Ovis aries: one gene and its partners. Each later gene encodes a partner of the first gene's protein in a complex. Links are inferred from orthologs where the notes say so. Each region holds a gene or a part of one and is shown in the gene's direction. Other genes may lie near its edges.

What was found.
Region 2: the proteins of PAK4 (region 1) and INKA1 are in contact, whole or in part, in a crystal structure (PDB 4XBU), measured with the Homo sapiens proteins. The link is inferred for Ovis aries from reciprocal best matches to the Homo sapiens genes PAK4 and INKA1. Residues at the interface, in NP_001014831.1 of Homo sapiens: Ser331, Gln358, Arg359, Glu361, Leu362, Thr404, Asp440, Lys442, Ser443, Asp444, Phe461, Leu475, Val476, Gly477, Thr478, Pro479, Tyr480, Trp481, Met482, Arg489, Glu507, Glu512, Phe516, Asn517, Glu518, Pro519, Pro520, Met524; in NP_976248.2 of Homo sapiens: Gly178, Arg179, Ser180, Arg181, Gln182, Pro183, Leu184, Val185, Leu186, Gly187, Asp188, Asn189, Cys190.
Region 3: the proteins of PAK4 (region 1) and ITGB5 are in contact, whole or in part, in a crystal structure (PDB 7S46), measured with the Homo sapiens proteins. The link is inferred for Ovis aries from reciprocal best matches to the Homo sapiens genes PAK4 and ITGB5. Residues at the interface, in NP_001014831.1 of Homo sapiens: Gly330, Ser331, Gln358, Arg359, Leu362, Thr404, Lys442, Ser443, Asp444, Asp458, Phe461, Leu475, Val476, Gly477, Thr478, Pro479, Tyr480, Trp481, Met482, Glu507, Glu512, Phe516, Asn517, Glu518, Pro519, Pro520, Met524; in NP_002204.2 of Homo sapiens: Ser762, Arg763, Ala764, Arg765, Tyr766, Glu767, Met768, Ala769, Ser770.

Annotation. Positions count from the first base shown.
Region 1 is NC_056067.1:48,257,968-48,261,467, forward strand, and holds part of PAK4 (serine/threonine-protein kinase PAK 4), read left to right. Parts: intron 1-2,080; coding exon 2,081-2,214; intron 2,215-2,439; coding exon 2,440-2,566; intron 2,567-3,500. UniProt on the Homo sapiens protein: Serine/threonine-protein kinase that plays a role in a variety of different signaling pathways including cytoskeleton regulation, cell adhesion turnover, cell migration, growth, proliferation or cell survival.
Region 2 is NC_056072.1:50,476,862-50,480,322, reverse strand, and holds INKA1 (PAK4-inhibitor INKA1), read left to right. Parts: upstream 1-1,233; 5' UTR 1,234-1,347; coding exon 1,348-1,398; intron 1,399-2,116; coding exon 2,117-2,917; 3' UTR 2,918-2,961; downstream 2,962-3,461. Other genes in the region: UBA7 (ubiquitin-like modifier-activating enzyme 7), read right to left, coding at 3,242-3,353. UniProt on the Homo sapiens protein: Inhibitor of the serine/threonine-protein kinase PAK4. Acts by binding PAK4 in a substrate-like manner, inhibiting the protein kinase activity.
Region 3 is NC_056054.1:190,163,977-190,168,263, reverse strand, and holds the start of ITGB5 (integrin beta-5), read left to right. Parts: upstream 1-1,487; 5' UTR 1,488-1,889; coding exon 1,890-1,959; exon of another isoform or gene 1,960-4,287.

The DNA of each region.
Region 1 (3,500 bases):
CCCTGCCCCCCCGTGCTCCTCCTGGGCCCCTGCCCCCCCGTGCTCCTCCTGGGCCCCCCTGCCCCCCCGTGCTCCTCCTGGGCCCCCCTGCCCCCCCGTGCTCCTCCTGGGCCCCCCTGCCCCCCCGTGCTCCTCCTGGGCCCCCTGCCCCCCCGTGCTCCTCCTGGGCCCCCGTGCTCCTCCTGGGCCCCCCTGCCCCCCCCCGTGCTCCTCCTGGGCCCCCTGCCCCCCCGTGCTCCTCCTGGGCCCCCCTGCCCCCCCGTGCTCCTCCTGGGCCCCCTGCCCCCCGTGCTCCTCCTGGGCCCCCTGCCCCCCCGTGCTCCTCCTGGGCCCCCCTGCCCCCCCCGTGCTCCTCCTGGGCCCCCCTGCCCCCCCGTGCTCCTCCTGGGCCCCCTGCCCCCCGTGCTCCTCCTGGGCCCCCCTGCCCCCCGTGCTCCTCCTGGGCCCCCCTGCCCCCCCCCGTGCTCCTCCTGGGCCCCCTGCCCCCCATGCTCCTCCTGGGCCCCCCTGCCCCCCCGTGCTCCTCCTGGGCCCCCCTGCTTCCCCCAGAACCCCCCCACTCTCCCACCTGCCCCACTCCCCCCAGAGCCCCCCCACCCTCCACCTGCCCCACTCCCCCCAGGGCTCCCCCACCCCTCCACCTGCCCCACTCCCCCCAGGGCTCCCCCACCCCCCACCTGCCCCACTCCCCCCAGGGCTCCCCCACCCCCCCACCTGCCCCACTCCCCCCAGGGCCCCCCCCAACTACCCCACGCCCCCTGGGACCCCCCTGCCCCCGGCTCCTCCCAGGGCCCCCGGCTCCTCTCAGGGCCCGCTGTTTCCCCCAGGGCTCCTGTACCTGCCCCCATTCCTCCCGGGGCTCCCCGCCTCCCCACCTGCCCCCCGCAGCTGCCCCACTCCTCCCGGGGCTCCCCGCCTCCCCCCCTGCCCCCCCGCCGCTGCCCCACTCCTCCCGGGGCTCCCCGCCTCCCCACCTGCCCCCCGCAGCTGCCCCACTCCTCCCGGGGCTCCCCGCCTCCCCACCTGCCCCCCGCACCTGCCCCCACTCCTCCCGGGGCTCCCCGCCTCCCTACCTGCCCCCCGCAGCTGCCCCACTCCTCCCGGGGCTCCCCGCCTCCCCACCTGCCCCCCGCACCTGCCCCCACTCCTCCCGGGGCTCCCCGCCTCCCCACCTGCCCCCCGCCGCTGCCCCACTCCTCCCGGGGCTCCCCTACCCCACAGTTTGGAGGGCATGCAGGGCTGAGAACCAGGAGAGGTCCTGTGGGGCTGGGGTTTGCCAGGCGTGAGTTCCGAGCCCAGCTCCTGTCCCCACTCCTTGCGCCTCCCCAGGCTGTGTCCTCTGTCCCCATGATACCCACTGCCATGCCGTCCTGTCCTGGCCAGGCCCCACTGACTCTCTATGTGCCTTCCAGGCCCCTCACCACCAGGTCCAATACTGGCCCCACACTGTTGACCCCACACCTGCCTTTCCTGGTTCCCCATCTCAGAGAGGCCCCACCACCCCTTGTCCCCAGGCTGGGGCCCTGAACCTCCCCATTCCCACTCCAGCCCCTCAGGCCTGAGCCTGTCGCCCTTCCCCCAATGCAGCACACGGTGAGCGTCATGTCCCCACCTCCAGGCTTTGCCTCGATAGGCCTTCCTGCCCCTGGAATCTAACCCCCAGCCCCGCCTTGTGTCTGAGCTGCCTGCTTGTCCTTCTGGTCTCAGCCCTGTGCTCAGTGCTCTCGTCCCAGCGCCCTCTCCCAGTGCCAGCCTGGCCATCAGGGCTGCTCGCAGACCCACTCAGGGCTGCTCGCAGACCCACTCAGGGCTGGCCAGAGGCCAGCGTCAGCAGTGTGAGGTGTGCATGGGGTGGGAGCACCCCGGAATAGAACACAGATATCAGGCCCTCGCTGCCTCTGGGCCTCTTGGCTTCAGCCGTGGGAGGACAGTCCCTGGACTGGACCCCGAGGAGCAAGAGTGGCAGGTGGAACTGGACCTGCAGTTTGGCAGGGCACCCCCCCAGGCCAAGAGGGCGGGCTCTGGCGGCAGGGACTGCTGGTCCTCCCCGCACTGTGCCAACCCCGCCTCCCGCAAGCAGGTGGTGATCATGAGGGACTACCAGCATGAGAACGTGGTGGAGATGTACAACAGCTACCTGGTCGGGGACGAGCTCTGGGTGGTGATGGAGTTCCTGGAGGGAGGTGCCCTCACCGACATCGTCACGCACACCAGGTACAGCCGGGCAGCTGGACGCTGCTGGGTCCCCAGAGTGTCCCCAGACCTCGCCCATATCAGGACTGCTCCCCTCTAGACCCCTTGGGGTGGGGCCACGTCTCAGAACCAACACACTGTCCCCATCACTCCTCCAGGGTGGGGCCGTGTCCCCATCAGACCCCAGGATGGGGCCCTTGTCTTCCCCACTCACTCCGCGCCCCCCCACCTGCCCTGCCCTCCCAGGATGAACGAGGAGCAGATCGCTGCTGTGTGCCTGGCCGTGCTGCAGGCCCTGTCCGTGCTCCACGCCCAGGGAGTCATCCACCGGGACATCAAGAGTGACTCCATCCTGCTGACCCACGACGGCAGGGTGAGCAGTGGTGGGGTGGCTTGGCCTCCCCTGGCCTCTGCCCAGCTCTCGCCCTGTGGGTGGGGTGGGCCCAGCGCCCAGTTCAGTCCCTTGAGGAGCAGTACGTGTATTCCTTCCTCGTGCATCAGTCCAGAGTCAGGGGTCCAGGTGAGTGGGGGGCTCTGCCATCATCAGCCCCAGCTGCTGAGAGCTGGAGTCTAGCCCCGGACCCAGAGTGGGGAGATTGCATCCAGGTGGCCAGCCACAGCTCTCGGCCATGTGGCAGCCTGCCCCTGGCCTGGTGTCCAGGACTGGGCTGTGGACTCCCGGTCCTGTCTTCTGGACTGAAGCTCCAAGCTTGCAGTCCATGGATAAGCCTCCTGGTCCCAGAACCTGCATTCGTATTCCAAGAGCGGATGTGATTTTTCAGGGGGAGGGGGCCCTTGACTTTCACCAGATTCTGGTTGGTGATCTGCCTGCCCTCCCCCAGGAAAGTTAAGCCAGTTCACAGAGGCGGGGGATTGGGGGAAGGCTTTGCTTCCCAGGGAGTCTCGGTTGGGGTCATGGACACCTGAAGATTCTACAGACGTGTTTGGGGCACACGGGTGAGCACAGAACTGTATGTGCAGTGTGTGAACGTGCTCTCTGGAGGGTCCACTGACATCCTCGGGAGTCTCAGTAGGGCCCATAGTTCCCAAGAAGGTGTAAATCCTTGGTTCTGAGGAGTTGGTTGTTGCAGAGGGACAGGCAGCATCCATCTCACCCCCTGCCAACTAAAGACATGCCTCCTGCCGGGAAGCCAGGGCCCCGGGCACGGCCTGGAGAGCCAGCCCGGTCCGAATCCCTGCCCAGCCTCTGGTACTCATGGGACTCGGGCTGCCTCCCCCGGGAGCCCCAGCACAGACCCTGTCAAGGAGGCAGATGGGTGATCTCGGGCAGCTGACACCGCTGAGGG
Region 2 (3,461 bases), on another chromosome or scaffold:
TGGTTGATTCGTACCAGTTCCATCCAATCAGTAGTTCAGCCTGGAAGTCTAGGAGTCATGCTTCTCTTTGTCTTCCCATACTCATGTATCAGCAAGGCTTGATTTTAACTCCAAAACATACCTCAAAGTATGTTTGCTCTAGACCTACCCAGATCCAGGCCCTCCCTTCCCTTGATGGATGAGGCAGGAGCCTCCACTCTTGACAGCAGAGTGGTTCTCCCAAAGCAGCGATTATCTAAACAGCAGCCAGCCCAGGTCATTACCTGCTCAAAAGCCCTCTAGCGCTCCCCACCACACCAAAAACAAAACCCTTTATTCCCTTCTAAAATGGCTAGGAGCCTGGTTTTGCTGACCTCTTCAGTCCTCTCCCCCTCCCCTCAACTACCACCATGAGAAATATCTAGGCCTTCCCTGGTATTTTCCTGTCTACTGACTTATCTAGTTTGTCTCCAGTTAGTCTGTGTCGTTGAACCTAGCCCTAGCCACCTCAGGGAACGGCTCTAATCCTTTGGTCAAAGAACTCCCTGCGGTAATCCCCTGCATTCACTCAGCCTGCCTGTAGTCCGGGATAGACAGGATGCGGGTGTTGGGAATCCCCACGAGAGGGCAGCCCTGCTTAGCTCGGCCGAGGCAAGAGACACGGGAGTGGGAGGCTGGGCCTCGGCCGGGGCTCCTCTCCGGTGCTGCAGCGAGGTTCTGCGCTCCCTGAATCCTCGGAGGGGCCGGACCCCTCCCATGACTTCCAGGGACGGTGGAGGCCAGCTCCAGGAGCGGATTCAGTGGGTCGGACCACGAGAGGGCCACAGCACTGCCGAACCCGACGATTGGGCCCGATCTACCCGCTCAAGGGCGCAGCCGCGGTACCCGTGACCTCCAGAGACCCCGGCGGGAGGGACCACAAATTTCCCCTGGGAATAAATGAGGAAACTGAGGCTGCCGCAGGGGTGCGACTTGTCCTGGGAGTCAGCTCAACGGCCCGGGACTACGGGGACTCCCGGGCCGGATCCCGCCAGGTTTCCAGCTACAGTCCCGCCCTTCCCCATAAGAGCTGCTTCTAAGGAGTGGGTAGTGGGCGTCAGGCTCGCCCACCCGGCAGGGCCCCGGGGGTGGAGCCACACCAGCCCCGCCCCAGCCCCATTGGCTGAGGCGCCAGGGGCGGGGCGGGGCCGCCAGATGTTGGGGCGGCGGCGGCGGCGGCGGAGGCAGCAAGAGCTGGGGAGAGGGAGGAGCCGCGGAGCCAGGCGGAGGGCAAGGGCGCCGCTGGCCGGCCCCCCGGGCCCTCTCCGCGCCGCTCTTGCTGGAGTTTGAAGAGGAACTGGCAGGCCTGGAGGGGGCTGCGGCACGGACATGCACAGCGCTCGGCTTGACAGTTTCCTGGGCCAGCTGCGCTGGGAACTGGTGAGGCTTGGGGGCGGGCGTGGCTCGTGAGGACTAGTGTGGGGTGCTCGGCTGCCTTCCTACCCGAACGACACTCGGATGGGGGGGAGCTGTCCCGAGTGCCCATCCAAGAGAGGATGGGGGCGGGGCGGCGTAGATGGCCCAGATGGCCCGCGTCGGGTTTCGGACGATTGGGAGCTGCGCTGGGCATCAAGTAACAGCCGCCCAGCTGGCCGTGCTGCTGGCGCAACGCAGGAAGTTGTGGGGGAGAAACTTCTTGGGCAGAACAGGGGCTTTTACGGAACGAAAAAGGTGGTGGGGCTACTACTGATGCCCCTTATTCCAGGCTGGCGTGTACCTCTTGTCTTCCTGGAAGGTGCTCTTTTCTTCTCTGAAAGAGGCTGCGGGCTTTGGGGAGCTGAATCCCTCAAGAGGCACAGGGTTCCCCCCCAGCCCTGAGCAAGACCTACTTCCCCATGCAGGCCCACAACCCTGCCTCCCGCCCTGGTGGCGGGTACCAACTTGCCCGGCTCTGCGTGCTGCAGCCTGCCGGACTGCCATCAGGTCGGCCAATGGGAGCCACACGAGCTTCGTGTGCCAGCGCCCCATGCCGACCTGGTGCCCGCTAGAGGCCTTGCTGCTGAGGCCTCCTGGGCCTTCTGTTTTGGAACTGGCCTGATCAGGCAGGGCGGAGTGACCAGCACTGCTCCTACCACTTCTGCCCTCTCTTCTTCCACAGCTGTGTGGCCGGGACACTGGCTCACCCCCAATGCCTGGTCCCCTTCCGCCACCCCCCAAACACCGCCCAGGCGTGCGGCTCAAGCACCAGCTCAGGGCCTCAGATGCGTTGGAAGAGGACTCGGTCTGTGGTGTGGAGGAAGAGGATGACGAAGTAGGGGTGACAGGAGACAGGAGTGCAGCCTTTGGGGGCCCCAGGGAGCACGGCCTGGACTGGGACTCTGGCTTCTCAGAGGTGTCGGGCAGCACATGGAGAGAGGAAGAGCTGCCCGTACCCCAGCACCCAGCAGCCTCGGCATGGCCCCCCCGGAGACAGCGCCTCTCAACCAGTGGTGTTGCCCAGCCTAGCGGAGCGCCCATGGCCCGGGTACCACCTGTCCACCGACCACGGCCCAAGTCCACCCCAGATGCCTGCCTGGAGCACTGGCGGGGGCTAGAAGCCGAGGACTGGACCACAGCCCTGCTGAGCAGGGGTCGTAGTCGCCAGCCCCTGGTGCTGGGGGACAATTGCTTTGCGGACTTGGTGCACAACTGGATGGAGCTGCCCGAGGCAGCGGGTGAGGGGGACAATGGGGGTGGGCCCCGTGCGCGTGCTCGGCCCCCCCAGTTCCTGCTGGGCCTCTCTGAGCAGCTGCGGCGCCAGCTAGCCAGGGCGCGCCGGGCAGCACTGGCAGGAAAGCGACTGTCATGCCCACCTCGCCCAGAACCCGAACTACCTGCGGATGTCTCACGCTTTGCAGCCCTCATGAGTTGCCGCAGTCGGCAGCCCATCATTTGCAATGATGTTGTCAGCTACCTCTGACCCTGCCCTCCAGCCTGGGACAATAAAGGCCTTTCTCTGGACAATCCTGGTTCTGTACCCCTCGAGGCTCCAGGAGGCAGCGCCAGCCCTGCAAGGCACAACTCAGGCAGGCGAATCAAAAGAGCCTTTTCCCTCCCCTGCAGGGGTCCTTGTCACGCCTGTGTCACACGCCATGTGTCTGCTCCATCACCCGTCCTGTCCACTGAACACCTTCCTTCAACAAGTGTTTATTGAGTGTCTGCTGTGGGCTTGGGACGCAGGGCTCGGGACGCAGGGCTCAGGATGCAGGGCCCGATGGAGCTGGGCGGTGGGGCTGCTGCCTTGTCACAGCTTGTAGTGCAAGCGTGGAAAGTTAGTGTCATACTCCTCGCCCTCATAGCCAAGTTCCAATACCAGCACCCGCTGCCCAGGCTCCTTCTTCACCAGCTCTGTCACCCTGGCGTGGGGGGAGGGGGTGGGGAGATTGGATAGGTGAGTGGTGACACAGAGTGTCCTGGCATGGGCTCCAGGGTGCTGGGGGGCCAGAAGGAGCCCAAGCTAGGAG
Region 3 (4,287 bases), on another chromosome or scaffold:
TTAACAGACAAATCTTTGAAAATCACCACTCGGCACTGACACCTCTCAGTTCAAACTCTTTTACTGGCTGCCCATTAATTATAATCATTGCCTCTCAAGCTTGGATAAGAGTAGCCCCAAGGTCATTCAGCTGAGATAAACCCGGAGAAGCTCCAGCAGCACCAGTTTTACTGGAAAAAGTTTAAGGACAAGCATGACTCTTACATCAGAATAAACACTGGGAACATTTAGAGTACAGTGATATTTACATGCAATTTATGGTTGAAATCCTCTTTCAAGTGGAACTTGGAGCTTGGCTTCTATGCACACTGTACCACAAGAATAAATTGACTTCCTCTGGCATCAGGCCACCACCTTGGTAGAATGTGGGGTGGGAGGGCACAATTAAACTCCAAACTCCCTAATCTGGTTAGTTAGAACTGCTCCCCCTCCCCCTCCCTCCCCAGAGCCATCTGTCCGACTGGTTCCTGACCTGCAAAGGTCATATCACTTTGTTTTTTTTTGCTGCTTCTGCTTCTAGTCAGAGGCACTCTGAACTTTTGGACAAGGCATCCAGCTCTGTCGCTTTTGGCACGTTAACCCTTTGCCTCAGTCTTCTCACCTGGTTAACAGCAGAGTTGTGGGAGAGGATTTCAAGAGTTAACAGGGTATTTACATTTCAGCGTCTGGCTAGCCGTGTGCTCTTTCTGCTCTACGTGTTAGGCTGCTCTACTGCTACCTCCTTGTACGTGAAGACCGCCTCTTCTCTGGCCTACAAACCATTCCGGTCTTAACCCCCTCAACGCGGCACAGCCCAAGCCCACCTGGCCCTTTGCACATGCTGTTAAGAGAAGCTCCCCACCCCATCCCTTACAGTCAATTTTAGAACCAGCTCAGATATTAAGAATAAGGTGAAAGGCTGAGCATCTGTTTTTAATTTGTTTCTCTTTACGGAAACCGCCAGCGTACCGAGATAGGAGAAACGCATAATAGCGACATATTGACCAATCTCAAATCCGCGTTAAGGGGCAAAACTTGAAAGAGAGGAGAGTGTGTTTCAGGTGTGCCTCCACGCCCCACGTTCCCCATGGAGCGACTCTCCTCACGGTAACACGCGCCGGAGGCGGGTAACACGCGCCGGTGCCTTCGCCTCTCGGGTGAGCGCTGCTTTGGGAAGGAAGACCAGACTGCCGCTGCACGGTTCCCCCAGCCCCCTTAAATTCAGCAACCCCAAGTAATCTCTGCTCTCGGATGGAGCGTGACCTGCCGCCTTCCCGAAGGCCCACGCTGCTAGGAAAGCCCGGCAGACCCCACCCCGGGATTTAGACCCCCGCTCCGGCCTCCAGGTGCGCCGGAAGCGACTTCCACCTGGATGCCCTCGGCCTCGCGTTTCGGGCCGGTCCCCGCGAGGGGCGGAGCTCGGCCCGCCCCGCCTCGCCGTCAGCGGACCGTGTGGCAGCCGGGCGGGGGCCGGGAAGGGGAGAGAAGGGGAGGAGTGAGGAGAGGAGGAAAGTGGAGCCCGGCGGGCCGGAGCGAGGAAAGGAAGGGAAGGGGTGGAGGCGACTGGCAAGAGTTTGCCGGCGCGCGGGGGAGCCTCGGCCCGGGACGCGTCGCGGAGCCAGAGTCGCGGCCGCAGCGCGGAGCCTGCTGTCCCGCCTCTGCCCAGACCGCCCGCCGGGGCTGTCCCGAGCGGCGACACCCCGGGCGTCCCAGCCGGCGAGCCGGCGCAGCGGCGGCCCCGGGACTCGGCGGCGAGGGCTGCGGGAGGGATGGTGGCGGCGGGGCGCGGGCCAGAGCAGCCGCCCCCGCCTCCCGTCCGGCCGAGGCCCCCGGCCCTCCGCCCCCGCTCCCCGGCCGCACGCCCCCGCGGAGTCCGCAGCCCGCGCAGCCGCTGAGCCGGGCGCCCCACCATGCCGCGGGCCCCCGCGCTCCTGTTCTCCTGCCTCCTCGGGCTTTGCGCGCTCGTGCCCCGGCTCCCAGGTAAGCCACGCCGCCCGCTGTGCAGAAAGAAACTTCGTGGCGCCCCGAGCCGCCCGCCGGCGTCTTGGAGGGGCAGGGGCCAGGGCAATTGTTTGAAGGTGGGAGGCGTCCTCGGGGACACCCCCGAGGGGGGGCTTTCAGACTGCGTGCGCCACCCCGCGCGCGGCCCGCCGCAGCCCCGCTGGGCTGTCGTCGGCCCCCGGTCCCCTCCCGGGCGAGGAGGAGCCTTCCTGTGTAAACAGCCCTGCCCGTCTGCTGACCTAGCCCGCGAGCGCCCGCGCCCAGTGCGCGGGGAGGGCCGCAGTCAGCCCCGCGTCGGGATCTGGACTCTGCAACTCCCGGCACAAAGCGGCCCTTGTGGCCGGCCCCGGGCGGCCGGGCTGCTGGGAGGCGCCGGGTGATGCAGCCGGTGCCCTGATCGCGGGGAGCGAGGGGTAACTGGAGGCGCGTGACCAGGAGCCAAAGCGTGGGGTTCACGGCTACTCTCGAGGGCTAGACTTTTGCAAGCGTGGATGCCCAGGGTTTCCTGGTGAATCCTAGAGTTTCACCCCGTCTAGGCCAGCCGCCTTTCTTTAAAGATGTAAACATCCCTTCCTCCCCCAAGCACCCGCATACCCGAGGGGAGACCCGCTTCCGAAACCACAGCCCCACCTGGGAACCAAGCCCTACCTGGGATCTCGCGATCTACTTCCTTCTGCCTGGCTTTATGTCGGAGCTTACAAACACCCCGTGCAGCGTACTCCCCCTGATTCTGAAGGATTCTGGAGCAGGGGGTGTGCAGTTGCACTCGCGCGATCCTGCTCTGGGCTGGCGGCTGTGTGAGGACCCTCAGTTACCTGCTTTAAGTTTTCAGAGTTGGGAGACTGCTGAGGAAGGATGCTCTGTTGGCGCTGGGGTTGCCAGGCAGAAGGAGCTACCCCCACCCCGTCCCCTCTAAAAGCAGGAAGCTCCAGACTTTCTCTTTTCCGGTAGGAGATAATTGTGTTGAGGTTCTCCGTTCACTTTCAAGCCCCAAATTCGATGGCTGTTCCGAACCATGTGTCTGGCCTAGAGGGAAAGGAGGACGGTCCCCTGCAGAGTTTCATTTACATGAAGGCAGTGAAGGTTGCTGTCTGAGACAGAGGAGAGGTCTAGACAAACAAAAACTTTTTTAGGCGATATTTCAGACTTATTACTGTAACAGGTTTCTTTCATCAGTCCAGAGCTTGGAGTGAATCACTGTTTTCCAAACACCCATCTGGCAACCAGTGCCCATTGCTCATGGGTCCCAGGGAAGGGCAAAGAGAGGGATATAGCCTGTGTTATACACAGGAATATATTATTGCCAACAGCCCCCTGCTTCACAAGGACTGTCCTTTAATTTGAAATTCTTTTTTATTATTAGGAAGACTTAAAAAAATGATTGGTAGTGATAATAGGGTAGTTTTTTGTTTGGAGCAAATGAAAAAACTGGCAATCCTATATAAATTTTACCTTCTCTTTTTGTTTTCTTTTTAAATTATAATCTGTGAAATACAGAAGTGTAGGAACTGCTGAAGGAGATGATTTCTTAGTTTCCTTACAGGTTGACATCCTGGTTCTGAGACAAACTTAAATACTTCCAGTTGCAAATAGTTCTTTCAATCCGTTATTTTCCATTTGCATTGTGATTTCTGCTTTTCAAATTTCATATTTTTGTTTTTAATGATCTCCGTTTTGGGGGTTAGCCCAGGATAGTGAACTGGTTTGCCCACTGTCCTTGTGCATAGGCCTCATAACTTTTTGGTTTAGGGCCCTTTGTCCTGCATGACACAATTTAGGTAGGGAAAAAAGCATTGAGCCCACAGAGGTTTATTTCCAGTGCTGTCTCTTCTCCTGGAATTGTGTTAGAGCTCAGCCATCGCTCCATGGATCAGCAGAACAATGGGAGAGCAAGCCCATCACTGGCTTCCAGACCTGGCCACCTTCCTCTTAATGCCCTGGAGCTTCTCAAGGTTACCAGCGACTGACACATATCTGTGTGATTTCTCCTCGTTTCCCAGTGTTGCTGAGCCAGCTGCAAGTCTGAAACAGCTTTTCTTTTCTCTTCCTTCCCTTGTTTTCTCTTTTTCTTGAAGCACTGCAGGTACTTTATCCAATTTGTGTTCTGCTACTAGGACAGAATTTGACAGAAAAACCTTGATTACCCACTAAGAGAAAAAGGTGACCTGCAGGGTCCTGCCTGCCTGGGTGTCCCTAGATCGGTGGTTAAGTTACCAGTCTATTGCTTTGCACTGCTTTCATCTGTGTGTTTAATCCAGCAGGAAACAGACTTTTAATTTAAGGGGGCTCACTTCAAACAAGTCCCCA